Linked DNA regions of Macaca mulatta. The protein of the gene in region 5 interacts with the protein of the main gene of each other region in a pairwise test. Links are inferred from orthologs where the notes say so. Each region holds a gene or a part of one and is shown on either strand. Other genes may lie near its edges.

What was found.
Region 1: the proteins of SF3B4 (region 5) and METTL17 interact in binary tests that used the Homo sapiens proteins (3 or more experiments, as listed by UniProt). The link is inferred for Macaca mulatta from reciprocal best matches to the Homo sapiens genes SF3B4 and METTL17.
Region 2: the proteins of SF3B4 (region 5) and RBM10 interact in binary tests that used the Homo sapiens proteins (3 or more experiments, as listed by UniProt). The link is inferred for Macaca mulatta from reciprocal best matches to the Homo sapiens genes SF3B4 and RBM10.
Region 3: the proteins of SF3B4 (region 5) and HNRNPUL1 interact in binary tests that used the Homo sapiens proteins (3 or more experiments, as listed by UniProt). The link is inferred for Macaca mulatta from reciprocal best matches to the Homo sapiens genes SF3B4 and HNRNPUL1.
Region 4: the proteins of SF3B4 (region 5) and CWF19L2 interact in binary tests that used the Homo sapiens proteins (3 or more experiments, as listed by UniProt). The two-hybrid records come from large-scale screens. The link is inferred for Macaca mulatta from reciprocal best matches to the Homo sapiens genes SF3B4 and CWF19L2.
Region 6: the proteins of SF3B4 (region 5) and BAG3 interact in binary tests that used the Homo sapiens proteins (3 or more experiments, as listed by UniProt). The two-hybrid records come from large-scale screens. The link is inferred for Macaca mulatta from reciprocal best matches to the Homo sapiens genes SF3B4 and BAG3.
Region 7: the proteins of SF3B4 (region 5) and PPP1R16B interact in binary tests that used the Homo sapiens proteins (3 or more experiments, as listed by UniProt). The two-hybrid records come from large-scale screens. The link is inferred for Macaca mulatta from reciprocal best matches to the Homo sapiens genes SF3B4 and PPP1R16B.

The regions. Positions count from the first base shown.
Region 1 is NC_133412.1:93,842,905-93,845,110, reverse strand, and holds part of METTL17 (ribosome assembly protein METTL17, mitochondrial), read right to left. Parts: intron 2,079-2,206; coding exon 2,005-2,078; intron 1,362-2,004; coding exon 1,267-1,361; intron 782-1,266; coding exon 711-781; intron 531-710; coding exon 423-530; intron 165-422; coding exon 96-164; intron 1-95. UniProt on the Homo sapiens protein: Mitochondrial ribosome (mitoribosome) assembly factor. Binds at the interface of the head and body domains of the mitochondrial small ribosomal subunit (mt-SSU), occluding the mRNA channel and preventing compaction of the head domain towards the body.
Region 2 is NC_133426.1:47,199,478-47,202,977, reverse strand, and holds part of RBM10 (RNA-binding protein 10), read right to left. Parts: intron 2,766-3,500; exon of another isoform or gene 2,725-2,765; coding exon 2,541-2,724; intron 1,016-2,540; coding exon 785-1,015; intron 1-784. UniProt on the Homo sapiens protein: Binds to ssRNA containing the consensus sequence 5'-AGGUAA-3'. May be involved in post-transcriptional processing, most probably in mRNA splicing. Binds to RNA homopolymers, with a preference for poly(G) and poly(U) and little for poly(A).
Region 3 is NC_133424.1:52,406,491-52,410,471, reverse strand, and holds the start of HNRNPUL1 (heterogeneous nuclear ribonucleoprotein U-like protein 1), read right to left. Parts: upstream 2,801-3,981; 5' UTR 2,715-2,800; coding exon 2,420-2,714; intron 2,246-2,419; exon of another isoform or gene 2,052-2,245; intron 1-2,051.
Region 4 is NC_133419.1:108,239,949-108,243,448, forward strand, and holds part of CWF19L2 (CWF19-like protein 2), read right to left. Parts: intron 3,007-3,500; coding exon 2,890-3,006; intron 320-2,889; coding exon 182-319; intron 1-181.
Region 5 is NC_133406.1:117,227,288-117,231,367, reverse strand, and holds the start of SF3B4 (splicing factor 3B subunit 4), read right to left. Parts: upstream 2,801-4,080; 5' UTR 2,749-2,800; coding exon 2,715-2,748; intron 2,283-2,714; coding exon 2,154-2,282; intron 1,916-2,153; coding exon 1,373-1,915; intron 1,044-1,372; coding exon 837-1,043; intron 1-836. UniProt on the Homo sapiens protein: Component of the 17S U2 SnRNP complex of the spliceosome, a large ribonucleoprotein complex that removes introns from transcribed pre-mRNAs.
Region 6 is NC_133414.1:131,748,305-131,752,241, reverse strand, and holds the start of BAG3 (BAG family molecular chaperone regulator 3), read right to left. Parts: upstream 2,801-3,937; 5' UTR 2,505-2,800; coding exon 2,325-2,504; intron 1-2,324. UniProt on the Homo sapiens protein: Co-chaperone and adapter protein that connects different classes of molecular chaperones including heat shock proteins 70 (HSP70s), e.g. HSPA1A/HSP70 or HSPA8/HSC70, and small heat shock proteins (sHSPs), e.g. HSPB8.
Region 7 is NC_133415.1:91,774,793-91,778,292, reverse strand, and holds part of PPP1R16B (protein phosphatase 1 regulatory inhibitor subunit 16B), read right to left. Parts: intron 1,456-3,500; coding exon 1,330-1,455; intron 444-1,329; coding exon 368-443; intron 1-367. UniProt on the Homo sapiens protein: Regulator of protein phosphatase 1 (PP1) that acts as a positive regulator of pulmonary endothelial cell (EC) barrier function. Involved in the regulation of the PI3K/AKT signaling pathway, angiogenesis and endothelial cell proliferation.

The DNA.
Region 1 (2,206 bases), on a different chromosome or scaffold from region 5:
GTCACCCTTGTCAATATATGACAGTCTCTTTAGTTTTCAAAAGAATAACAGTAATTAGTGACATATGCGTGGGGGAGTGAGGGAAGAAGCCTTACCTTAAGGACCAGATCCCTGGCTTCCATGAGAAGTCTGTGCCCAGCTTTTGTTCCATTCTCCACCAGTACCTATTCACAAAAGGGAAAAATATGAAGACTTAAATTACATGAAAGTGTAAATGTCAGTAGCTCTGTAAAAGCATTATAGATGGAAAAGGGGTCCTAAAAAGAAATACGCATTATATATCAGGATGGAGACCCTCAAAGAGGGATAAAGAAACCCATAAAGGAGAAAAATGGTGAAGAATGAAGACAACGAGAGAAGCAAAGGCATGAAATCCATGAAGCTGCTTTAAGACTTAAGGAGAACAAGGAATTTTAACTCACCAGGAAATGACCTGTCTTACGCCATAAGGTTTGAACCACCTCAGTGCGGTCAGCCCTGCTGGGCAGTTCACTTAAGGAAAAGGCTGATACTACTACATCAAACTGCACCTGAGGACCAAGACAAAGAACATGACACACTCAACATCTCTGCATCCCAAGAATATAATAAAGTCCTAGCTGATAAATTTCTTTTATCTTCTGACACTCAGTGCTGGGCTGCAAAGCTCAAGCCATAGTTTTCCATCTGCCACATTCCACATTTAGAATATTCTAAACACTGCCACTTGCCTTGGGTGATACAGGTAGAAACTGTCTGAAAAAGACACCTGGAATATAAGGCTCCCCAGATTCTGAACCACCTGTGGAGAAAAGAAGAGGCAACTTTGAGTGTGTAGGAAGTTAGGTATAAACTGAAGAGATATCCAGATAAGAAACATGGCCCCAAGGATAGGGAAAGTGTCTATCAAAAAGGGCAGGGATGAGCCAGATATGGTGGTGCATGCCTGTAATCCCAGCTACCCCAGAGGATGAAGTGGGAGGATGGCTTGAGGCCAGGAGTTTGAGACCAGCCTGGGTAACAGGTTCTAATTAAAAACAAACAAAAAACAAAACAAAACAAAAAAACGGCAGGGAGAATATTAGGCCTCTTGTCCTTTGAATCTTACCCAACCCATCCTCAGTCCAGCAGAAACCTCTAATACCACCCTTTGCTTGACCATAACTTTAAAAGTAAACCAGATTCATCTTAATTTTTACCCTCTTCTCTACTTCCCAGTAAAACACTTTTACTAGTACCCCTTTGCTTTCTGAACTCCCTCAACTTTGGAAATGCTCTTGTACTCACCTTTCAGTAGTTTTTCTGCCAAAGCCAGCATGGCAGTTGATTTGTCCACACACATATATTCACGTAGGCTCTGGCCCCAAATACTGTTAGCAGCCCTAAGATGGCAAAATTATTATAAATCACCAATTCCCATGACCAAGAGTCATCTCTACAAGAGACCCATTTACACCCAACCCCACCCCTGGGAAAAGAGAGTGTTATGTTAAAATAGTTGTCTAGTTAGTAATAAAATAACTAATAGTGTTATTTTCTTGTTTTATTTACAATTGTTTTTAAAAAAAGGTAGACTCAGCTGGGTGCAGGGGCTCATGCTTGTAATCCCAGCACTTTGGGAGGCGGAGGCAGGAGAATCACTTGAACCCGGGAGTGGAGGCTGCAGTGAGCCGAGATCGTGTCACTGCACTCCAGCCTGGGTGACAGAGCGAGACACCATCTCCAAAAAGAGAAAAATAAAGGTAGACTCAAAATACTATTTGTAGGCAAAAAAACTTTGATTGATAATTCCTTTTCTTTTTAATTTTTCTACACATGCGCCTTTTTTTCACTTGACATTTCTTTAAGTTCTGGCCCCAATCCATATACCTTCTTCTGCCTTGCCCAATCTGATGGAAGAAACATTATAGATTCCCAACTTGCCTATTCTCCCTCTGGTTTTCCAGTCTCTTAATTTTTGAGTGGTGTAAGTATGGCTTTCTAGAGCTAAAATTGACCAAGACAGGGCTGAAAAAAGTTACTCACCAGGTGACAGAACCAGTACCCGAGCCAAAGTCCATCAAAGTTTGTGGCTGAAATGCTGGATTTCGAGCCCGGATCTGAAGAAATATACAACATCCCACAGCAGAGTAATTAGATACTTATTTAGGACCTTGATAAATATGAATTAGGAGCCTATCACAGAGGATGTGAGATGTGAATGCCTTTTGAGATTCAATATAAATAC
Region 2 (3,500 bases), on a different chromosome or scaffold from region 5:
GACCCTGGACAGGGCAGGTGGGCCAGACCTTAGAAACCCTCAAATACACAAGTGGGATTTTCTCTGCTACAAAATGAGCAGCTAGCAGATTTCAGAGGAGGGCTAGGGGGTGAGGGAATTTCAGAGAATTCATGGGGGTGGGGGGTGAGGGGCGGTGGAGTGGACTAAGAAGGACCAGGATCAGGGAGACTATTCTTGGAAGTTATTCTGGTAGGCCTCCTGGGGCTTCAGTGTGGCTGTCATGAGAAGTATGTATGAAAAGGAAACGCGAGGAAAGGGAGGCAGGCGGGGAGGCTGTTAACAGCCACCCAAGGCTCTGAGGCCAGGCCAGGCTGCTGACAAAAGAGGATGGGGAAAAAGGAGAAGGAAATTTCAGAAAATCCCACCCCTCCCCCAATGGTTGCAGGGCCCCAGTGTCATCTCTGCTACCAGCAATAGCCAGCACTGGCCCGGTGAGTATCTGGCCCTTGATGCACACATGCAAAATGGCTGGACGACCAGTGGAATGTGCAGGACTGCTCTTCTCCCGCCCAAACCCACCACTGCCGGATACCCACAGCCGCTGCCCCTTGGCCAAGCCGGCCTCTCTGACACTCCTCCCTCCAGACCGGGGGGCCAATGGGACCTGCCCACAGAGGACGGATCAGTGCTGGGGGATAGTAGCTGGAGGGGGAGAAGGGATGAAAGGCACTGAGGTTGCGGGTGAGGGAGGGGTGGGGAAAAGTTGAGGGCCCTGGAGGAGACCCAGCCTGGCCTCCTGCCCGGGGCCATGGGGGGCACGTACGTCATCCTCAGTGGCTGCCTGTGGCAGCATCCTCAGCATGACGATGTTACTGGCCTTCTCCTCCTCCTCCTCATCCTCCTCCTCCTCATCCTCCTCCCCTTGCTCGGTCCGATAGTCCTGGTCCCGATAGTCGCCGTCTCGGGGGAAGCCCGGCGGGCCGGTGGGGCTGTGCCTGTGCCGCCGCCGCCGCCTACGCTGAGTCTCGGAGCCCGGGGAGGCCTCGTAGGAATCCTGGCCGACAGAATGAGATGAGTGACACCAGACGGGCAGTCAGTCTGGGCAGGCCTAGGAGCTGGCCGCTGGCTCTGTGAGGCGGGCAGGCTCTGAAAGCCAGGGATGTGCGGGCTCCGGCTAAAGGCTCAGGCAGGCAGGGTGGGCAGGCCCTGGCCTGCAATCCTTCTGGGGCTGGAAATTCTCCATGGGGTCCTTTTGGGGACTGCCTTCAGGGGGTGGGGAGAGGTAGGTGGCAGTATTGGTGTTGGGGGGGATCTCTCAAAGGTAGCTGACAAAACACAGCTTAAACCTCCTTGAGGCAAGACGGCCTGGGGTCAGCACACCAGACCCCACCCTTGATTTCCCCCTCCTCTCTGGCCAGCTCAGGGGGTGTGCTCAATTGCTCACTGTACCACCGAAGGCTGTGTGTCTCCTATGGTTCCACCCTGCAACTAAGCTAGGGGCATAAGAACAGCTTCAGATCTCAGCCAGAGCCAGCCAGCAAGAGCTGGTAGAGGTGGTGTGAGGGCTGCAGACACTTCCTCCTCAGTCCCTGATCCTCAGCCTTGGCCAGTCCTCCACCACACACCACGCTCAAAATGGTATGGCTGTTGGGCTCTGGGTTGTTGCCCATTCATCTATTCCAGGACTAAGCAGACCAGGCCTCGGGCCAAAGCCCTCCTACCCACAGTGGGGAAGCGCCAGATAACTTGGTGCTCCATTCTTACCCTGGCCAGGGCCCAGTGCTCCTGGAGACGTCTGGGCACAGCTTGACAGCTGCCACTGGAGAAGCCAGGCAGTCCACCAAAGGAGTTTTCGCCCTGGACCCTCCAGAGGGCAGTGGGCAGCTCACAGCCTGCCCCCTAGGGCTGGGCTTGCAAGAACACCCTTCCCAGCCTGCTGGACAGGAGAGCTGCCTGCTCGTGTGGACCAGGGCCCTGACTGCCCCTCCAACTGGGATTCCCCTAAGGCAAGCCTGTTTGTTCCCCTCGGGTAGGGGCTCCTGATGGTGTAAACATCATGCCTCATCCCTTAGGCTAGGGTGAACTACCCAACATGGCACTGGCTTTTCCAGAAGTATCCTTCCCTTCTGTCTAGGGGCTCTGTCACCACTGGGAATGTCCATGGCTGGCCTCCCAGAGCTCCTCAGCTTGGTAGTCTGCATTCCCCTGGTTGTCCTCCCAACCCCAGACGCCGGGTCCCACGGAAGAGGCTCTTCAAGTGCTCAAGTTGGCTGGGAGTGGGCAGTATAGGGTTCACAGTGAGCCATGGGCCCGAACTGAACAACAGGGAGAAGGAAAGAGTGGTGGCCAGGGGCCCTCAGAAGTACAGAGCCAAGCATGTGGAAGCCAGGGAGACCCAGGTTGGGAGAGGAGCCCTCAGAGAGGGGAGTGGGAACAGGCCCTCCAGGTGAGGCAAAGCCACCGAGCACAGTCTGAAGGCATGGGAGTGGAGAGCCGCCTGCACACGGTGCTGCAGCCAGACACAGAGGGCCCTCGGGAGCCCATCCCAGTCAGGCCTGGCGCAGCTCGCCCCTCCTCACCTCCGCACTCTGCTCCTCAGATGAGTCGTCATAGTCGTGCTTGCCCTCCTGGCTGCCGTACTCGCGGGGATATGAACGGTAGTCCATGTCCCGGTAGTCGTGGTCTCGGCTGCGGTTCTCCCCACCATCATCCTGCGAGCGGTCAGTGGCTCCATAGCGCCCAGTCCTGTCACCACGACCACCACTAGTGGAGGAAGAAGGATGGGGAGGGATCAGAAGGTTGCCCTTTCTAAAAGGCGCAAGAGGCCCAGGTGATGTGTTCTCATGGTTATAGGGTTTCGTTGTTTTGGAGGAGCATACAACAGAAGTGAGGTGCCCTTCTGATCCTATCAGATAAGGAAGTACATGCTACCACCATGACTTAGCTCTGGTGATGTTAACCTTGGTCATCTGGTTAAGGCAGTGTCTGCCAGGTTTCTCCCCTGTAAACTTTCATTTTCCCTCCCTCTACTCTATTCTTTGGAAGCCCTCAGGCCTGCCCCTGAACAGGGATTCCTAAATATCTACTCCACATCTCTGAAGTGCAACCCGCCTCTCTCTGGTCCTATGTCACTCTCCGGTCCATGCCGCTGGCTTCTCTCATGAGCACCTTGGTTGTGGCCTGGCTGGTCTCCTCACTTCTACCTGGACCTCCCCAGTTCAGTCTCTACATCCCAAATCCCAAATATGAGTGCTCTCTAAGGCAAAGCCACTCAAACCCATCTCAGTCCCTTCAGTGGTTCCCCCTCAGTCTCAGGATCAAACACCAAAATGCTCACCAAGGTCCCATGCAGTTTGCAGGATCCCCAAGGGTGAGGGCCCTCCTCCCTGTCTTGCACCACGTCCCCTACCCCTGCTTCACTGTCACCTTGCCGACACTAGCAGCTCTTTCATTAAAATTTCTCCTACCGCAATAACTGTAAAATAATTATCTCAAAGCTGATTTCATCTGCATTTTTCTTTTCTCTTTTTTTGAGAATG
Region 3 (3,981 bases), on a different chromosome or scaffold from region 5:
CGATTTCATTCATAACACCCCCGGGGGCTAGAGCGAACACACTATTTGTTGATTAACCCCATTTTACACGTAAGGAAACCAGGCTCACAGAGATGAAGTGACTTGCCAATATCTTTAAGCCAGATTTGAAACGAAGTCTGTCTGAGTCTAGAATCTACGCTCCAAAGCACCTAATTCGCTTTCCTCTCAGAGACGACTCTCTGGCCAGACCACCAGGTAACTACTACCCCACTACCCTTTCTTGCTAGGCATTCCTGCCACGGTCCCTCCTGCTCTAGACACACACACACAGGCCCACTCCTTTCTTCACAAGTCTCTGCAATGGGAAGTTCTCTTTCCAGCACCTGGATCCTAGATAATCTCTAGGCCATTGCCTATCCCAAATCCACACTCGAGTTATCTCCCTCCGGGAAACTCTATCTCTTATGAACAAGTATCCAATGCCAATCCCAAATCTTGTCTCCACTGTTACCTCATTTCTGTCCTCATTCCCTTAGCCCCAAGTCCCATGGTGCCCTCTTTTCGGAAAAACTCCACAAATTCTTACGCCAGAATCCCTTCTACTTACTCCTTAACCTTTCCAGTCCCCCCATTTCCCAGTCCTACTAGAAACCTGCCCTGAGGCCTGGTGCAGTGATTCATGCCTGTAATCCCAGCACTTCAGGAGGCTGAGGTGAGCAGATCACTTGAACCCAGGAGTTCAAGACCAGCCTGGGCAACATAGCGAGACCCCATCTGTATTTTTAAAAAAGAGAAAGAAAGCAAGCTCCTTTTCCTTTTTTGAGACAAAGTTTCACTCTTGTTGCCCAGGCTGGAGTGTAATGGCATAATCTCGGCTGACCACAACCTCCCCCTCCCAGGTTCAAGCGATTCTTCTGCCTCAGCCTCCCAAGTAGCTGGGACTACAGGCGCCCACCACCACGCCCGGCTAATTTTTGTATTTTTAGTAGAGACGGGTGATGGGGTTTCACTATGTTGGCCCGGCTGGTCTTGAACTCCTGACCTTGTGATCCGCCCGCCTCGGCCTCCCAAAGTGCTGGGATTACAGGCGTGAGCCACTGCACCCGGCCCGAAAGTTGCTTTTTTCTAACTGAAGATTCACTCCGTCCTATACCAGGGTTTCCTCTCCTCAGACAACCGCAGATCTACCCGAACCCATTCCCAGAGTCACACCTCCTGGCTGATGCAGAGTTCTGTGCTTCCCGCTGAAGGCCCCCACTCCCTGGGTACACAAATAACTGCTTCTGGGAACCGACCATATCTCTGGGAGACGCTCAGGTCCAGAAACATTCCCCACACTCCACTCTGAGGCCTCCAGTGAAGTCAACAGGTTTTCTTTCTCTTTGCTCCCTACAGCCTCCCCCCTCCCCATATTCGCTAAGCCAGATACATACTCCTTCTGTGCTGGACACAGGATCCTCTGTCTCCTGCCACATATTTCATCCACTTGGAATGTTACCAACTCATCTGCCCCCATCCCACCCGCAGCTACCCCGTTCTCCAAAAAGCCCACAGTTAGCTCTAGACCATTCAGCAGCAGCCTCAGAGTTATTTGTCCTCAGTCTTCTTAGCTCTAGACCCCCAGATCCTTTGTTGAGGGAAAAATCCTCTCCCCCTCCAGCCTCTGGACACCAGGGCTCCCTACACCTCTTCTAGAAGCCAACCAGAAAGTCCCCAGATCTCCCAGCACCAAATGTCCAGGCTGTGCCTGCTTCAAGGGTGGCCTTCCAGCCCCGGAAGAGAGATGGGGGTGCCCCCTCGTTCAATCTCCCGCAGCCCCTAAATGCTCACCAGCCAAACTCCAAAGCACTGAGTCCATTAGACCCTCCCCAGCCACAGACACCAGCGCCTCCACCTCACCCACCCACCCCCGAAGCAAATAGGAGAACTCCCAGGATCGCATCCAGCGGCATACTCCAGGATTCTGCTTCCTCAAAACTCTCGCAGCCCCGCACACCTGGACATTCTTTCCCCACCCTGGAAACACGGCTCCCCACCCCGCAGCCCACACGCTGGGCTGGCCAGGCCGCCAAGCCCAAGGAGCTCCGAACCCCAAGATCTCCATTTTCGAGACCCTCCCAACCCAAATGGAAAACCTCTTGTTCTTCCGACTCTCTTCGGCTCCAGAAACCAGTTTCCGGTCTCCGATCCCTACGGTAAGGAATCCTCCCCGCCACCCCCGTCCCTCACCTCCGAAACCCAGAGGCCCCTCCCCCAGTGTGCCCCCTGCACCGAGCGTCTGGATCCACCCTCCGGTCGTGCCGGGGCCCTTGTCCCCAGATCCTTTTCGGCGGCGGGTAGCGGGATCCCCCGATCCTCAGGTCGTCTCCCCGACCTCAGGCGCTGGACTCCCGCGTCCCACAGCCCTTTCCTCGGCCCAGGCTCCGGGCTCCCCGGCCCCCGCCCCGCGCACTCTCACAATGTCCGTCCGGCCCCGAGTAGCCGCCGGGCTCCGCGTGCGGCTGCAGCCCGGGCGGCGGTGGCTGCGCGGTCCCCTCCAGCTCGGAGCCCCCCTCGGTCTCGACCTCCTCGTTGATGTGCCCGGGTCGCCCCGGTTCGTCGTCGGCCTCGAGCTCCCGCTCGTCGTCAGGCTCCTCGGCCTCCAACGCTGCCTGCAGCCGCTCAGCAAGCTCGGCCTTGAGGCCTCGAGTGTCCAGGCCGCGGCGCTGCAGCTCCTCGCGAAGTTCGTTCACCTTCAGACGGCGCACATCCATGGCCCGGGCCCCCGGGGTGGCCCCCGAGCCCGGCCCGGCCTCCCAGGGCTCTGTCCCCCTTAAACCTTTCCTGTCAGGAGGCGAAGGGGGAAAGGGGGGGGGCCCACTCCAATGGCGGCGGCGGCTCAAAATGGCCGCCGCCACCGCCTCCCCCTTCACCCGTGCCTCGTCCGATGTAATACGAGTGCCAATTGGTCAGTGCATGGGGCAACGGGCGCGGGCCCGGAAACCTAGCCAATCAGAGTGCGGTTTTCAAAACAACGGCAACGAGAAGGCCTACGAGCTACCGGGTAGGAAGCGTTGGCCTACGTCGAAGCCGAGGCCGGAGCGGAGGGCGGGAAAAGGCAGGAGGCGGAGCGTGCGCTGATTGGGTAGCTCTCGCGCGCCGGCTGCAGTAAAGCCCAATGAAAATAAGGGAGTAACCCTTTGGACCAATCAGCGGTGAGATCTCAGAATGAGCGTCCGACGGCCTTTCCTGCGCAGTCCTTTCATCAAACTAAGTGTCTCTGTAACACACATTCCGATTGGTGTATATCTCCCGCCCCTTGAGGAGTCCGAGCGGGTAAAACCACTAGAACCAATCAAATGGAGGGTCGTCAGAAACCCCTCCTTCCTGTTGCCTTTAAGAAACCGGAAAGAGATGAATTCACCAGGGGCCCGCCCCTTGCCGTTAGGGCGGTTTCAAAACAATCTGCCCACCAATCGCAGTTATTGTCTTAGCTCACTAAAGCGTAGAGATGGCTCGTTTTAGGAAAAATGCCCCAGATTGGCCGTGCTTCAGAGGACTGCCTCACAAATTTCGCTGTAGGAGGAGGTATACGAAATAGATATTAAGTGGATATACAGTTCGTAATCTGGAAGGAACCCAGTTGCCTTTAGTAAAAGCAAAATTTTGACTTTAGAGAGTCCCGAAGGTTTGACTATAGAGACTAGACTAACAACGGGAGGCTAGTTGTAAAGGACACGGCCTCCCCTTCCCTTGGGTAGTCCGCGGCGGCCTTGCTCTATGGTCGGTGCCTGACGTGGAACGGGCGCTCTGCACGCGACCATAGAGCCTTCCCCTTACGAAAGACATCCAGAAGTTCACCGACCGCCCTCTCCAATCCTCTAATCGGCTGTTCCCGTAAATCGGGCTGTCTGGCGTCTGTATTGACAAGCTCAAACCCACGGATCCGTCATTAACCTTCGCGCTCATGAATACAAAAGCCACAGAGCTTCCCTGTGTCTAATGCTGCACCACCTGTCGCCTCTAACTCAGAAAACAAAA
Region 4 (3,500 bases), on a different chromosome or scaffold from region 5:
AATGTCTATTTCTCAACCAGATCAATTCCAAAATGCATGTTTCTAATAAGTCTTACAAAGGATTTAATTTAATAAAATGAACCAAGATTAGAGAGAATCGGATCTCTCCAAAAAGCAGATCCCTGTTACATTGAATAACCAGCTTCTCAAAATTCAGAGGTATCCTAGGAATATATCTTACCTTAGATGCCATTCTCATAAAGAGCTTGTTTTGATTTTCTGCTGTTCCCATCTTTTCATTTTTGACCAAATCAGTTAGGCTTAGATTATCATCATCATGAAAGTATCTGACCCTTTCTTTTTCCTCATGGGTTGAAATCTATGACAAAATGAACATTATTAATTTAATGAAAACATGAGTCTCTGAAGCATTTAATGGATTACATAAAAATCTGATGTTAAATGTAAAAATTCCACTATGTAATCACAACCTTTCCTTCCAGTTTATCCCTAGTCTGCCAGCTTCCTTGTGAAAAAACTTCCATTAGAATTACACTCCCTACTTCTGCCTCTTTACTCTCCTCTTCCCTGGGGATGGAAGCATGATATTAACTGCTTTATGAGTTTTGATGAAAGAGCAAAACTGCTTTACCCCTTCTTCTCTCTTTTCTGCTCTTCTTCTCCTTATAGTTAAAATTCCTTACCACTGTGGTGGGAAGACTGAAGTTATCCAGAGATGGAGTAAGTATATCAAAAACAGAGGTGAAGTATTAGCAAATCCACTGCTATGAATTTAATGATTATGTTGCCCCAAAATTTACATGTTGAAATCTCAATAAGAAGGTATTAAGACGCAAGGTCTTTGGGAAGTAACTGGGCTATGAGCATGAAGTACTCAGAAATGGGATCAGAACCTGTGATGGTTAATACTGAGTGTCAACTTGATTGGACTGAAGGATGCAAAGTATTGTTCCTGGGTGTGTCTGTGAGGGTATTGCCAAAGGAGATTAACATTTGAGTTAGTGGACTGGCAGTTAGTGGAGAGGCAGACCCACCCTCAGCGTGGGTGACCATCTAATCAGCTGCCAGGGTGGCCAGAAGACGCTGAAAGAACTTGACTCGCTGAGTCTTCCGGCCTTCATCTTTCTCTCATGCTGGATGCTTCCTGCCCTCAAACATCAGACTCAAAGTTCTTCAGTTTTTGGACTCTTGGACTTACACCAATGGTTTGCCAGGGATTCTTGGGCCTTTGGCCACAGACTGAAGGCTGCACTGTTGGCTTCCCTACTTTTGAGGTTTTGGGACTTGGACTATCTTCTTTGCTCCTCAGCTTGCAGATGGCCTATGTAGGACTTTACCTTGTGATTACGTGAGTCAACACTCCTTAATAAACTCCCCTTCATATATGCATCTATCCTCTTAGTTCTGTCCCTCTAGGGAACCCTGACTAATACAGTACCTCTATTAAAAGACATGAGCGTTTGTTCTCTCTCTCTCTCTTTTCTGTCATTTGATTATACAAGAAGACTATCGTCTACAAACCCAGAAGCATGCCCTAATCAGACAATGAAGCTGCCAGCACCCTAATCTTGGACTTCTCAGTCTCCAGAACTGTGAGAAACAAATTTCTGTTGTTTAAGCCATCCAGTCTATGTTATAGTAGCCCGAACTAAGACACCAACTTCTAATTATTAAACCCTTGTTCTGTAAACAGCTTTATCAAAAGCAAAGCTGATATTCTGGTCTCCATCTAATTCAGTCCCAGATGTTCCTATCAGTTGGTTCCATACCCTGGTGTAGAACAGAAAAATACTATTTATTTCCTCCCAAATCAAATCTTTCTAATGCTGCTCTCACATTCCCTTATCCAAATAAAACCTCATCTTTAACTTCTTTGAGATCTTTGGAACAGGGGTGCAACTATATTTCCCAACATTACTATTCTTGTCTTTACTAGCTTAAACCTCATATCCCTTGACTTCAATCACCCCCTGGCTCCAGACACTTAATTTCTGGCCCTCTTGTCTTTTCATCATACTCAAAGAACAAACTTTACTTGTGAAAGTGTCTACCTTCTTTACTCCTATACCTAAATTGTTAAGTAATATGCAACTCAAAAAGGGCCCTCGATGCCTTCTGACAATGCATTTATGGATCCCTAGTCAGTTCCACCATTTCATATAATTCAAACCTTTACTATTCTCCTCCTGTACCACCTCTCCAACCACCAAATTCCTCCCATTACATTAGAAGACATATCTATCCCACTTCTATCTGTTGAATGAATTAATTAAGACTCTCTAGCAACACAGGCACTGAACAGGCAAAAAATAAACATTTGACAGAAATATTCTGAATGAACAGTTCTTTTGTATATGCAATTATCACTTGTCTGATCTTCCAAATTTAAAATAAAAAACCTAATTTGGGAAAGCTGAATATGTTGTTTTTGCCATCTCAAGAGCCTCAAGGTAGTGCTAAAAACTAATTACTAGAGTTGGAAAATGGAAAAGAAAATTAGCTTTATAAAGGATTATGACACCTACATAATTAAGCCATTATTGTGTATGGATACCCCATCACCAGGTCTCAAGTTAGCTGTCTAATACTAGTAACAGCTCTGGGAGACCAAAGTTTTCCCTAAGAGCTATAGCAAGTATGCCAAAAGCAGCTGAAAACAACATCAAAGAAATGTAAACTAAAATTAAAATTGCCTTAAACATTCAATGTTAACAACTATTTGAAAAAACACAGTCGGATTACTTTCCATTCTGTAAAAGGCAAAAAGATATAACTAAGAATAAAAGTAAGAACAACATCATTTACTACCTTCCAATATTGGCATTCAAAAGTTACTTTTCAGAAAATATTTTGTAATCTGATATGAAGAAAGCCCCAAGGGAAAGAAGGAATTCTGAATTAATAAACAAAGACATATGTTAAACATACCATCTGTCTCTTTCTTCTTCCTCCTTGTGATTCCAGAGATTTTCCGGGTGTGTTCACAGGCCATACTCTTCCAGACTGATCTGTTCTGACAAGGATTACTTCTTGCTGGTCTTCATTCTATAAAAAGATTTAGAGATAACTATTGAAATTATTGTGAAGAATGCTGAACGTTTTTATTTAATAACAAAAAAAAGCATTAAAATGATTAACATTTCCACATAATACTGTGGATTGCCTTAAATCTCCTGGATTTTCATTCCTCTCTATACTATAAAATGAACATAATCATTTGGGGAAAGAATGAAAAATACCCAATGTTTATTTTAGTATTTTTTAAAAAGTAACCAAGAGAAGAAAATTTCAAATAAAGTTTTCATCTAGACAATGTTAAAAGATGACGAAGTATCAATAGTCCATGCGGCATTGTATGAGAATGCCCATCAGTTATACAGCAGATGTAATGTTTTTTAAATTTAAAGATCCTATTAAAATTTGATTATAAGAATAAAGCAACTAAAGACAAACTTGCTAAATTAGCAAATATAATGAAACTACCCGTAACTTCTATTCTTTCTATTAACAGCCTTCAAATGCTATTCAGTTTTCTGACT
Region 5 (4,080 bases):
AACTGGAGTCCAAGTGGAAGGAGATTACTACAATAAATTAAGTGTTAAATAATGAGGGAATGAGAGACTGAACTAGGGCACTGGCCATGGGGAGAGATGCCACTGATATTAAATAAGACTTGGTATTAAGAGTGGGGTGATAGGGAGCAGTCAAACATCACTCTCAGATTCATGAATTAAGCACCTGAAAAAAAAGACTGCTAGAGAAAGAATGGGTTTGAAGGAGAGGGACAGAAAAATGACGCTATCTATTAAGCAGCAGCATTAAAGCATTAAGGATCCGGAATGTCAACAGCTATGGACTAGAGATACAGATCTAGGAGGCATCAGTATATGCTCAATTAAAACTATAGATATATGCAGAAAAGAGAAACAAGCACAAAAATCTAGGCACAAGTAGACAAGAGTCTATCATGGTAGCTGAGATTAAGGAGTCAGAGGGGTGGAGGATCTAGAAAAGCAAAAGCAAAAAGAGACGAGAATTTCAAACAGGAGGACACGACTAGTTTCAAGTACATCAGAGGTCAAACTAGATAAGGAGGAGAAGTGTCCCTGAGATTTGGCAATTAGGTCACCACTTTGAGCTGGAGTCAGAGAAGAGAATGGAACTAAAGGTTAAAGAAATAAAAACCAGCAAGTATAGTCTTCTTGTCAGAAAAACTTAAGAAATGGATACAGGGAGGTGGATGTTAGAGAGTATTTTGTATGTTTTTATAATAGAATGTCTGAAGGAAAGGAAACTCTGAAACTGTTACTGTTGAGGAACAAAGGGCAGCAGGGTGAGAGGTAACAGAGATGCTCTACCAAGCTCTTCCCTCCCAACAAAGCACACCTACCTGGATGGGGCATCCCACCTGGTGGGAATGGGTGAGGATGTGAGTGTCCATGACCAGGATGTCCTGCCCCTGGGGTTCCTGCCGATGGGGGGCCATGTCCTGCAGCTCCAGGAGGCATAGGTGGTGGGGGCATGGCTGGGGGTATCCCAGGTGGGAGGGCTCCAGGAGGTGGCACTGGGGGTGGGAAGGAGCCAGGAGGAGGCATGCCTATAGAGGAAATGGAAAAAGGAAAAGTTAATGGTAGTGAGGAGAAAATGTCTTTAAAGAGCCTGTCCTGATCTGGCCTCTCTGGGCAGGGTGAGCTCTTTCCCCCTCCTCCCAGTGCTCTAAAATCAAAAGCAATGTTAGAAAAGTCAACCAACTTCACCCTCCTAAAGAAACCCAACAACTTTCTTCTCCACCACTACCATCACCCCTCAGTCCTCTTCCCATCACTCACTGACTCCATGTCCCATCCCCCTTTCAGGCTCTTTTTTTCTTCCTCCTGACTCTCTCCCCCAACCTTAAGACAAACAAATTTTAACCAAAAGCTTTACCTGGTGGAGGAAGCCCAGACCCCAATGATGATACCACAGGATTGGGGGCAGAGGGTGGAGGAGGTGCATCTGCAAACAGCTGATGAGGGCGGTCAGCCTGGGAGAGCGGGTTCTGAGCTGCCAGAAGTCGTTCGGCTGCTGAGCCATGGCGCTCACCCTTGGAGTCCTTCTTGAAGGCATAAGATACGGTGATAGGGCGGTTACAGAGGTACTGCCCATTCATGGCTTCAATTGCTGCATCCGAAGCATCAAATGAAGCAAAATTAATAAAGGCATAACCTTTGGAGTTGCCTGTGTCAGGGTCCCGCATAATCTTGGGGGTTTGTAAGATGACCCCAAAAGCGCTGAAAGTATCATAAAGCAACTTCTCATCAATCTCAGGGTCCAGGTTCCCAATGAAAATGTTGGCCCCTACATCCAGGTTTTTGTTGTGGGCTGATGCTTTGTTCACCCGTATTGGCTTCCCATAGAGTTTGATCATGTTCATGATCTTAATGGCATAGTCAGCATCTTCCTCACTCAAGAATTCCACAAAGCCATAGCCTGGAGAAGTGGAGAAGAGGAGGTTAACAACATAAGAGATTGAAAATGGGGTAAAACTCATCTACCCTCTAATCACAAAGAACAAGAAAGAAACAATCTCACTTAAGAATGGTTCCAGAAATAAACTGAACAGAGGCTTAAAAGAAAGAAATACTTTAGGTTGCTCATGTTATTCCAAAACAGTTGTGAATACTGCCGGGACCCTCCGGAAGCAAATTGCCCCTTGTCATGTACTCACCTTGGTGCTGGCCAGTGACTCTATCCTTTGGCATGTGGGTGTTGACTACTGGTCCAGCCTGGAGAAACAGTTCCCACAGCAGTGGTTCACTAACCTTCTCATCCAGGCCCCCCACGTACACAGTGGCATCTGAAGGGAGGGAGCAGAAAGTTAGAGCAAGGGTGAGAGTATAACATGAAAGAAGGAGGTGATGGAAACATGAAGATGGAACCCAACCGGGGGAACTGGGGACGCGGGTAGGGGACAGGAGCAAAAAAAAAAAGTTAAACCCTTAAACTTCTCTCTCCAGGACTTCAGGAATCCTCTGAAGTCTAATTTAGTATTCTGAGTGGATTTTTTTGTTTTTTTGAGTGAGAACTCAGCAGGGGATTGGACGTAAGTATCACACCCACAGGCCTCAGCCAGCACCTGGCCACCCCGCCCCCAGGAGGCACGGGGCCGGTCTCGCGCCCTCTGGGGAATGGATGAGTCCAGTCTCCCACCCCTGCAGAGGCACTTCTGGCTGTAGTAGGGGCCTCCTAGCCACGCTGAGCCCATTCCAGACTTTCCCCCTCCAGTTACCCTGGTTCCGCTCGGAGATCGGCCCGGCAGCCATGGCGAAAGAGCTCCCGCCGTCTCCCAGCAGCGGTTCCGCCTTCTGACCTCAGCACGACTTCCACTTCCGGGGCGAAGGAGGACGTAGCGCTGGGCGGAGCCGCGGAAGAGGAGGGGCCTGGAAGCGGCTGCAGCCATTTTAGGAGCCTCCAAGACTTAACTCGGGTTGGGCGGTGGAGTCCTCGGCACCCGCGCAGAGGTGCTGCTGCTAGTGGTCTTAGCGAGGAGGGCGGAACGGAAACGCTCAGACCGTCTTAATGCACTGCTAGACTTGAAAGAATCACACTGCTCCCAAAAATGTAAATTCGAAAGCTAAAAGAACAAAAACTTCAGTTTTCATGTATTTTGTAGCCAGTGATGATGTTTTGTTGTCCAGAGAAGGATGTGCTGAAGAGTCCCCCCAACCCGAGGACTTGGCTGCTTTCAGGCGCAGAGGGAACCCTCCATCTCGCCTGCAACCTTCTTGCAGATTTGGCCTCAACAGCCCTGATTTGGGCTGGAGGTATTTGGTTTTCCCTCGGGGAGGAGACTGCGAAATGTCTGAGCTGGAGTGACGTCTGCGCTCATCTCGTCGTAATTGCATGGGGAGGGTGAGGGCTGCTCCAAGGTGGTGTGTGACCACAGGTGAGGGGTGGATAGGATCGGAGCTCAGAGACTTCAGTCTGGATCTCTAGAACAATCTGGCCCCATCTGCCTCTAAATGGGAGACACACACAGAATCCTTTCCCCAAACTGCACTTGAATTCTGCAGAGTCTCACCAAATCCAGTTCCCCTATTTCCTTAGCAATAATACAGTAGATGCCTTCCTCTCTTGGATCATACCCACCTTTTACCCACCACTTTCCTACCTAGGAGAATCCTTTATTCAAACACAAGAAACAATGCCAGTAATGTGTATAAATACTATGCTTTAATGAGCCCCTTAAATAGAAAATTCCGCTACAAAAATACAGAGGAGACAGGGTGTTTCCTGTATCCGCCTCATTCCCATAGAAAACTATAAGGGAAGAAATAGAAGTTGGAATTAAAGCAGCAGCAAGGCGAGGTGAGAATGCGATCTGTAGGCCATCTTGTTGGGACTGATGAACAGCATCTCTGATCTCACGATTTAACATCTGGTTATCCAGAAGGGATGGAACTGGTCTAAAAAAACCGATCAATTTCTGGATTGTTTTTGTTTCTTAATCCTTCAAATGACAAGAAACAAAAATATCCGTAGGAACTAAGCAAGACAGGACAAGAGTTGGAGCAGTTAACACCACCATCTGCAGCAGAAACTCAGACCTTCTTAGTGAACTTAAGGGCTGGAGTGTGAAAGCTGAGGCTGCAAGT
Region 6 (3,937 bases), on a different chromosome or scaffold from region 5:
TGATATTCTAGGATTCTCCACTACATTTAGTCTCCAGCAAGGTGTAATTCACACAAGTGCAACCAGATATTGTGTGTGTCTAAGAACAGGGTTGAAAGCAATGAAGCACAAACAGCTAATGGGCTGAATGTTAGTTTTCTCCTTAAGTTTTGGTGCCATGCTGACAAGTCTCAAGTCATTCACTTCGTAAAGAGAACTCTTTTCTTGAGTTGATGATGTCCCATCATCAAAATCCAAGCAACCACAGCACAGAGGTCAGTGACCCAATAACTTGGTGGCCAGGAGGGCACAAAGATAATCAGGTATTCTAGCCTGCATGCTTCAGTTTCACAAAACATTCACTTCCAACTTCTAACAGACACACCACCTCTTACTAGAACTTTCCTGACATTAGTTCTCTCCCTGTAATTGGTACTAGCTGGATGACCTTCAAAGTCACACCTGAATTCTCTGGGTTTTTCAGAAAATAAGAGATCTTCTAACTAAGAGATCTTCAAGGACCTTTCAACTTAAAAATTTTGACTATGAAATTTTCAAAGAAACCTTTCCAGCATCAGACTTCTGATGTAATAGTTCTTACTTTTTATTTATTGAGAAGAATAATGGCAGCTAAACCTGCTTTTTTTCTTTTAATAAGGTTTATGAAACCACAGCCTAACCCATGCACCAGGTGGGTACAGGAATATCTCAACTTGCTGGGTAAGTTTCATGCTGAGAACAAAGTGCTGGGAATGTCTATGTTCAAACTTGATCTTCACTCACAACAAAGGCTGCCAGCAGATACCACTGTCCCTATGTCCACAGGAAGAAGGCCTCAAAATAATAGTTGCAAACCACACTAAAGATCAGGTACATCCACGCAGACGCCTAAGAAAGGTGGTTTGAAATGAGTGTCAGTTTCACCCAAAAATGGGCTGAACACACACACAAAAAGGTATATGCAACTGTGCCCACCCCAGCTAATTACAGCCTCTTGTATTAATTTTCAAGAATAAATACACAAGTAATCTCTCGTAAATGTAAACTGCTGCCTGTACAGTGTCTCACTGTTGGGCACCGGAGTTTTATCAATATTGTTAAAACAAAAAGTGCATTAAAATGAAGGGAAATAATACAGGTCTTTCTTCTAAAATAATGGGTTACAAAGTATTTTTAATTTGGTGAGTTTTAAAATCTTCAAAATAATTTACCAGCTCTTTGCTGCTTTTATCTTGCCCAGACGGCAGTAACAATTACGCTTTAAGTATAACATATTTTTTTAAAAAAACTTTTTATTTTGAAAGCTCAAATTTATATAAAATTGAACGAATAGTATAACTATGATTTTTGAAAATTAACAGACTCATTCCAAATTTACGTTTTCAAATTTCATGCTCTTGGGGATTAGGAATATCGTTGCATATATGTAAATGAGACATACTTCTGCTGTATTCCCAAGAGTATCATTACTCTGTTATTTGTGTACTGGTAACAAATTCTAAGTATTTTAATACCATAACAAGGCAGGAAGCGAATGCCATTATAAATATACACGTATCATTCTCTTTCCAGTGTGAGGCAATGTGGTAAGGCAATGGCCAACTGTAAGTCTCAGATCTCTAGTTTAGAAACTGCTGGGGAGAAGTGCACCCTCTTTTATATTTTACAAGTCATACTAGGATACATTCGTATTGAAAGCACTTTCAAACAATAATACAATTTTAATTTAAAATACACACACACGCGCGCGCACATATATATGAATGTTTTGACACCAGCCTCCTGAGTCATTGGGTGCCTAAGATGGGACAGCAAACAAGATACCCCTCAACCAAGTTGGAGAACTTGAGCGGTAAAATTCCTCCCAAAAACCACCATCCAAGCTTGCGAGGGTCCCCCTCGAGTCCGCGGTCAGCGGGGTGCGCCGCGGGTCCCGGGACCGGAGGCCGAGCCGGCAGCAGGGGCCGCGGCGGGCCGGAGCCTCCGGAGCTGACCAGGCCGGCCGCCCCCTCCGAGCCCGGGAGCGTGAGGCCAGCGTCGGACACGCGGCCCTCCGCCCCGAGTCGAGCCGTGGACCGCACCGGACCCACTGCGGGGTCGCTTCCCGGACCACCGGATCGCGGGGCCTCCTCTCGCCCCGACTCCTGTAAAGGGCGGGTCCGGAGCGGGGACTCGTCCGGGAGCACCGGGAGTGTGTGGCGGGGCGCGGAGCCGGTGTCCGCCCGCAAGGGGCCTTCGCCGACCACCGGGCCCCGCCGCCTGGCGTCCCCCCGGCCCAACCCACTCCCCGCCGCCTGCCGTCGAGGTGGCGCCGCCGACCAGGGCGGGCCGCGGGCCCAGCTCACCTTGGGGCCCTCAGAGGGCACGCGCGGGTCGTTCCACGTCGTGGTACGGCTGTTGTGGTCCACGAAAAAGGGCCAGCCGGTCTGCGGGTCGATCTTGATCTCCCAGCCGGGGGGCAGGGGGTCGCGGTCACCGTTGCCGGACGCCACCTGCATCATGGGCGAGTGGGTGGCGGCGCTCATACTGGGTCGGGGTCTGCCCGCCGGGGCGCGGGTGTGGGGCGCGGGCTCCGGGCGCCGAGTCTCTGGCCGGGCCGCCGCCGTGGGCCCCTCTCTGCCGCCGACGTGTCCGGGAAGCCGGCGCCGGGCACCTTTATGAATTAAAGGCGGGGGTGACGTGGCCAGAGAGGGGTGGAAGTGTCTGGAAATAGCCTCCTCGGTGCCAGAGGGGAAGGAGGCGATAAAGGGAGGTAGCAACTGGCCGGCTAGAAACTTCTGGTCCAGTCCAGAGAAGTTGGCCGCGGCCCGGGGTTGGACGCGGAGCTCCGCCCTGAGTCATCCGCTATAATCGCGGCGGGCGGGGCTGAGGGGCCGGGGCGGGGCTGAGGGGTCGGGGCGGGGCCTCTCCCCGCTCGCCCCTCCCCCACCTTCTCCCGCCCCTCCCCCCGCCGTCTCGTGCGCGTGCCCGGGCCGGAGTCGCCGGGGGCGGGCGCGGGCGCGTCTTCGGGGTCCGCCTGCGGGTGGGGCGCCGGAGGAGCGGTACTGGGGGCTTACTCCGTGGCCCCGGGAGGGTTTCGGCTTTCGCACTCGCTCTCTCCCTCTCCTTTGCGCCGACTGAGTGTTCCTGGGGCTGGAGCCCGTGCTCCCCGTGCCTGCCGCCCCTCTTTCCTGTACAAAGCCATCTCGCCCACCCCCACCCCACCCCCACCCCCCAACCCCCCCATATATGATAGCCGGGGACCATGAGGGCTGTCCGGGAGGAGCGCGGGGACGCTCATCTGACACCAGAAGGAAGCCAGGGAGAAAATGGAAGTTAGTGCAAACTCACCTGCCTTCCTTTGGAAACTTCAAGAAAAAAAGAGATTGTGTCAGCTGATGGCTTTTAGTCTCCTAGACTAAAAAGAAACTTTCGTTGCGGTGAACAGCTTTAAAGAAAAATCACATTTTCTTGGATTCGGATCTTTTTTATGGTAGAAGTTGGTTCTTGCTGTCTTACATCTTGACCCTCATTTGGGAAGTAAAGACCGAACCTAACCATGACATTTTTTGTTTGGTTTATTCAATTGCACTTGTAACCTGTCAAAGGAGAAAATTACAACACATTTAAAGATCTTTTCTGTTGTTGTTGTTGCTGATTCTCATTTTTTAACTTTTGTTGTTAAAGTTCTTAATTTTATTTGTGATTCTAGAATTGGGCAACACCTCTATTAAATTAGAATAAGTGCTCCCATGAGCTGAGCAGAAGAGGTTGATTTTATAGACAGAGAAGGGCTGAAGAAAGCAGAAACAAAGAACCAAGACTGGATTGGTTGTTTCAAAATTACTTTCCTTGTAAGGAGGGGACAGCGAGACAGAATCATAGAAAAATAACTGATGAGGGCTTGCCACCATGGCTCATGCCTGTAACCCCAGCACTTCGGAAGGCCAAAACTGGAGGACTTCTTGAGTCCCGGAGT
Region 7 (3,500 bases), on a different chromosome or scaffold from region 5:
CTTAACCCCTTCATCCAGCTATCTACCCACTGCTGAAAGAGCCATCTATTCAGATTCATCCTTTACCCACTCATCCACTTATTCTTCTATCTATTCATCCATCCATCCACCCACCCACCCATCCAGTCAACCATACCTCATAATATCTACCCATGTACCCCTCTCATCCATCCATTCATCCATTTATCCATCTATCCCTTCATCTGTCCATCTGTCCATTCATCTACCATCCATTAATTAATCCATCTGTCTATCTATACACCAATCCATCAGTCTATACAACCATATATTTATCTATTTCTCCCTCTACCCATCAAAAAATTGATAACTGTCTATTTGTGCACACCAGCTGTTGTGCTGGACTCACCTATTGGCATCTCATCCATGGATGTCCTTGCACTGAGACTAGCTCCATGGGACACCAATAGCTCTGCCATCTGCATCTGAAACACAGGAAGAAGCTCAGTGTCCCCCTGCCCAGAGCTCAGAAAGCCTAGGAGGTGGAGAGAGTGTCCAAGACCTCTTAGGATGTGACCCAAAGAATGGTGGGACAAAGTTGATTTCCAGGGAAGGCCTGCATGCTAGAGCCATGGGGGGAATCCAGACAGATGCAATGCCTGGGCCACACCAAGAAGAGGGAGAAGAAAGAGTTGGCTGTAACTCTAGAGCTGGCAGGTATCTAAGGAGGGACTAGGTATAAGTGACAATCAGAGTTTTGTGTCTGGAAACAAATGGAGAAACTACTGGGGGCAAAAATGCTGGAAATTTTCTTATTTGGCAAATCTGATTACCATCCTATTAGAACACAACTTGTCAGCCGGGCACGGTGGCTCACGCCTGTAATCCCAGCACTTTGGGAGGTTGAGGCGGGCAGATCACCTGAGGTCAGGAGTTTGAGACCAGCCTGACCAACATGGTGAAACCCCGTCTCTACTAAAAATACAAAAAAATTAGCTGGGCATGGTGGCACACGCCTGTAATCCCAGTTACTCAGGAGGCTGAGGCAGGAGAATTGCTTGAACCCAGGAAACGGAGGTTGCAGTGAACTGAGATTGCGCCACTGCACTCCACCAGCCTGGGCAACAGAGCAAGACTCTTGCTCAAAAAATTTAAAAAAAGAATAATAATAATAATTTAAAAAAAGAACACAATTTGTCCAATGTTTTTGCAAACTCCCTAGGCCTTTTCATATCCCACATATGAGCTATAGTCAACACCTTAAGCCTTAAAGTCTTATGTTCTTTGAAACCAATTGCCAGCCCAAAAAACTTGATGTTAGCAGGTTAGCCCTGTGCCGGCTTCCCCCACAGCCCTGTGGGTGAGAACTACCTGTCCCCAGAAGGCAGCTGCGTGCAGGGGCTCCCAGCCATCCCAGTCCTTCACATCCACACGTACTCCATGATCCAGGAGGAGCTCAGCTGCCCTCAGGTATCCATTGGCTCCAGCTATGTGCAGCTGGAGAAGAGGAAAGAAGTAAGCATTCCCTAGGGGATCAGTCCCACATTGAAGGTAGGCTAGCCCTTACCCCCACCCAAGCCCCACAGCATCCTTGGGGCCAATAGAATGGAATAGAATGAGATGGAAATACCAGTCACATTGCAGAGGATTATTAAGTCTGAAATATGGACCTAGAAAGAAAGGTAGAGAGCTGAATTCTTCTCCCATGTGGTTGGTCTTGGCATCCATGTGGTTAAAGCAACAGCATTTACTGAGCCCCTACTGTGCACTGAGCCCTGAAGAAGGGGTCTCTGAGGTTCAATATGGTGATTTTTAAACATGTCTACAAATTCTTTGATACAGCTTCCTTTAGAAGATGGAGCCCGACTGTTCTCACCTTGAATGTGGGCCAGATTGAGTGACTCACTTCTAACAAATAGGATATTGTGAAGTGAGTGACGATGTGTGATTTCTGAGGCTAGGGCATAAAAGGCATTGCTGCTTCTACTTTACATTGTCTTGGATCAATTACTCTAGAAGGAGGCAGCCACTATGTTGTGAGGACGCTCTAGAAGCCTCAAGGAGAGGTCCTAAGCCTCAAGGAGAGGTGAGAAACTGAGGCCTCCTGCCAACAGCCAGCACTAACTTGCCAGCCATGTGAGTGAGCCACCTTGGAAGTGGATCCTGCAGCACCAGTCAAGCCTTCAGATGAGACTGCAGCCCCAGTAGTCTCAACAATATTGCAACATCTTGATTGCAATATCATGACAGCCACCAAGCCAGAGCCATCCAGTTAAGCTGTTCCTAACTCTCTGACTCAAAGAAACCATATGAGACAATAAATATTTATTATTGTTTTAAGATGCTACATTGTGGGGTAGTTTGTCATGGAGCAATAGATAATACATCCAATAAGGGACTGTGATCCCATTCAAGGCCTTCAGTCACTGCCTGGCAGACCTCAGTTGTCATGCTTGTTCAATCTGCCCCCAAAATACATAAAGTGCTTAGCCCATAATGAACACTCAGTAAGGGATTCAAATTCTTAGAAAGCCCTAAGTGATGACCATGAGAATGAATGAGGGAGAAGGAAATAAGGCAGAAAGACATCAACTGTCCAGCCAAGATGAGAGAGAGAAGTGAGAATCCAAGGTGGTCAGCAGAAGACTGGCTGGGAGGAAGCCAGAGAGCCTCAGCGGACCTGAGGTCTGGGGCCGGAGAGTCAGAGGGACAAAGAAGGCATGGCCTCAGGAAGTGATCCTTCCAAATACAGCCCTGATGGTCAGATGCTCCCTCATCCTGGGACAAAGTTGCTTAAAGCTCTGGTCAGTGGATGGTTTTTGTTTCTTTGTTTTTTGTTTTGTTTTGTTTTCCAACTTGAAAAACCAAGGGTATAATGTGAAAATTAATTATCTGATTTATAAATGTTTGATTCTTGCCAGTTGTAGAGAATGATACCTGCTGGCCAGTACGACATTGCAAACCTCAATACTTGGCTGGAAATTAAAAGGTATGAGTGGAATAGTGGCATTATTAGTAAAAATAATGGTCATTGCTAACATACATTGAGAATTTACAGACTGTGCTAAGCACTTTCACACAGAATCTCATTTAATGCTCCTAACAACACTGTGAGGAAGATGAGGAAGACACTATGATCTCCACTTTACTGGGAAGACCTGAGACCTAGTATGTGCCTGGTCCATGGGGGTGGGGCCACCCTGAGGCCAGCCCCAGCCCAGGAAGAGAAGATCCCTCTGTCTTGAAGACCCAGTCACAGCCCCAGTAGAGCTGCAATAAGAGTGGGTATGCCCTAGTGCAGCCTGACCTTGACTTCAGACAGAAACAGTCAGTCCTCCTACCTGATCCCATTCTTGAGTGCTAGGCTGAGCAGGTAATTCAAGCAGGCACCCAAGTAATAGAAATGGGCACAAAACAGATGTGAGAGCTCAGGAAGCAGGTGGAAGAAGCCCACTTATCACACCTAGGCTGCCAGGTCAGGCCTGAGGGGCGGTGAGGATACCTGGTACTGCTGAGCCCTACCTAGTGAGCTTGAGATCCCG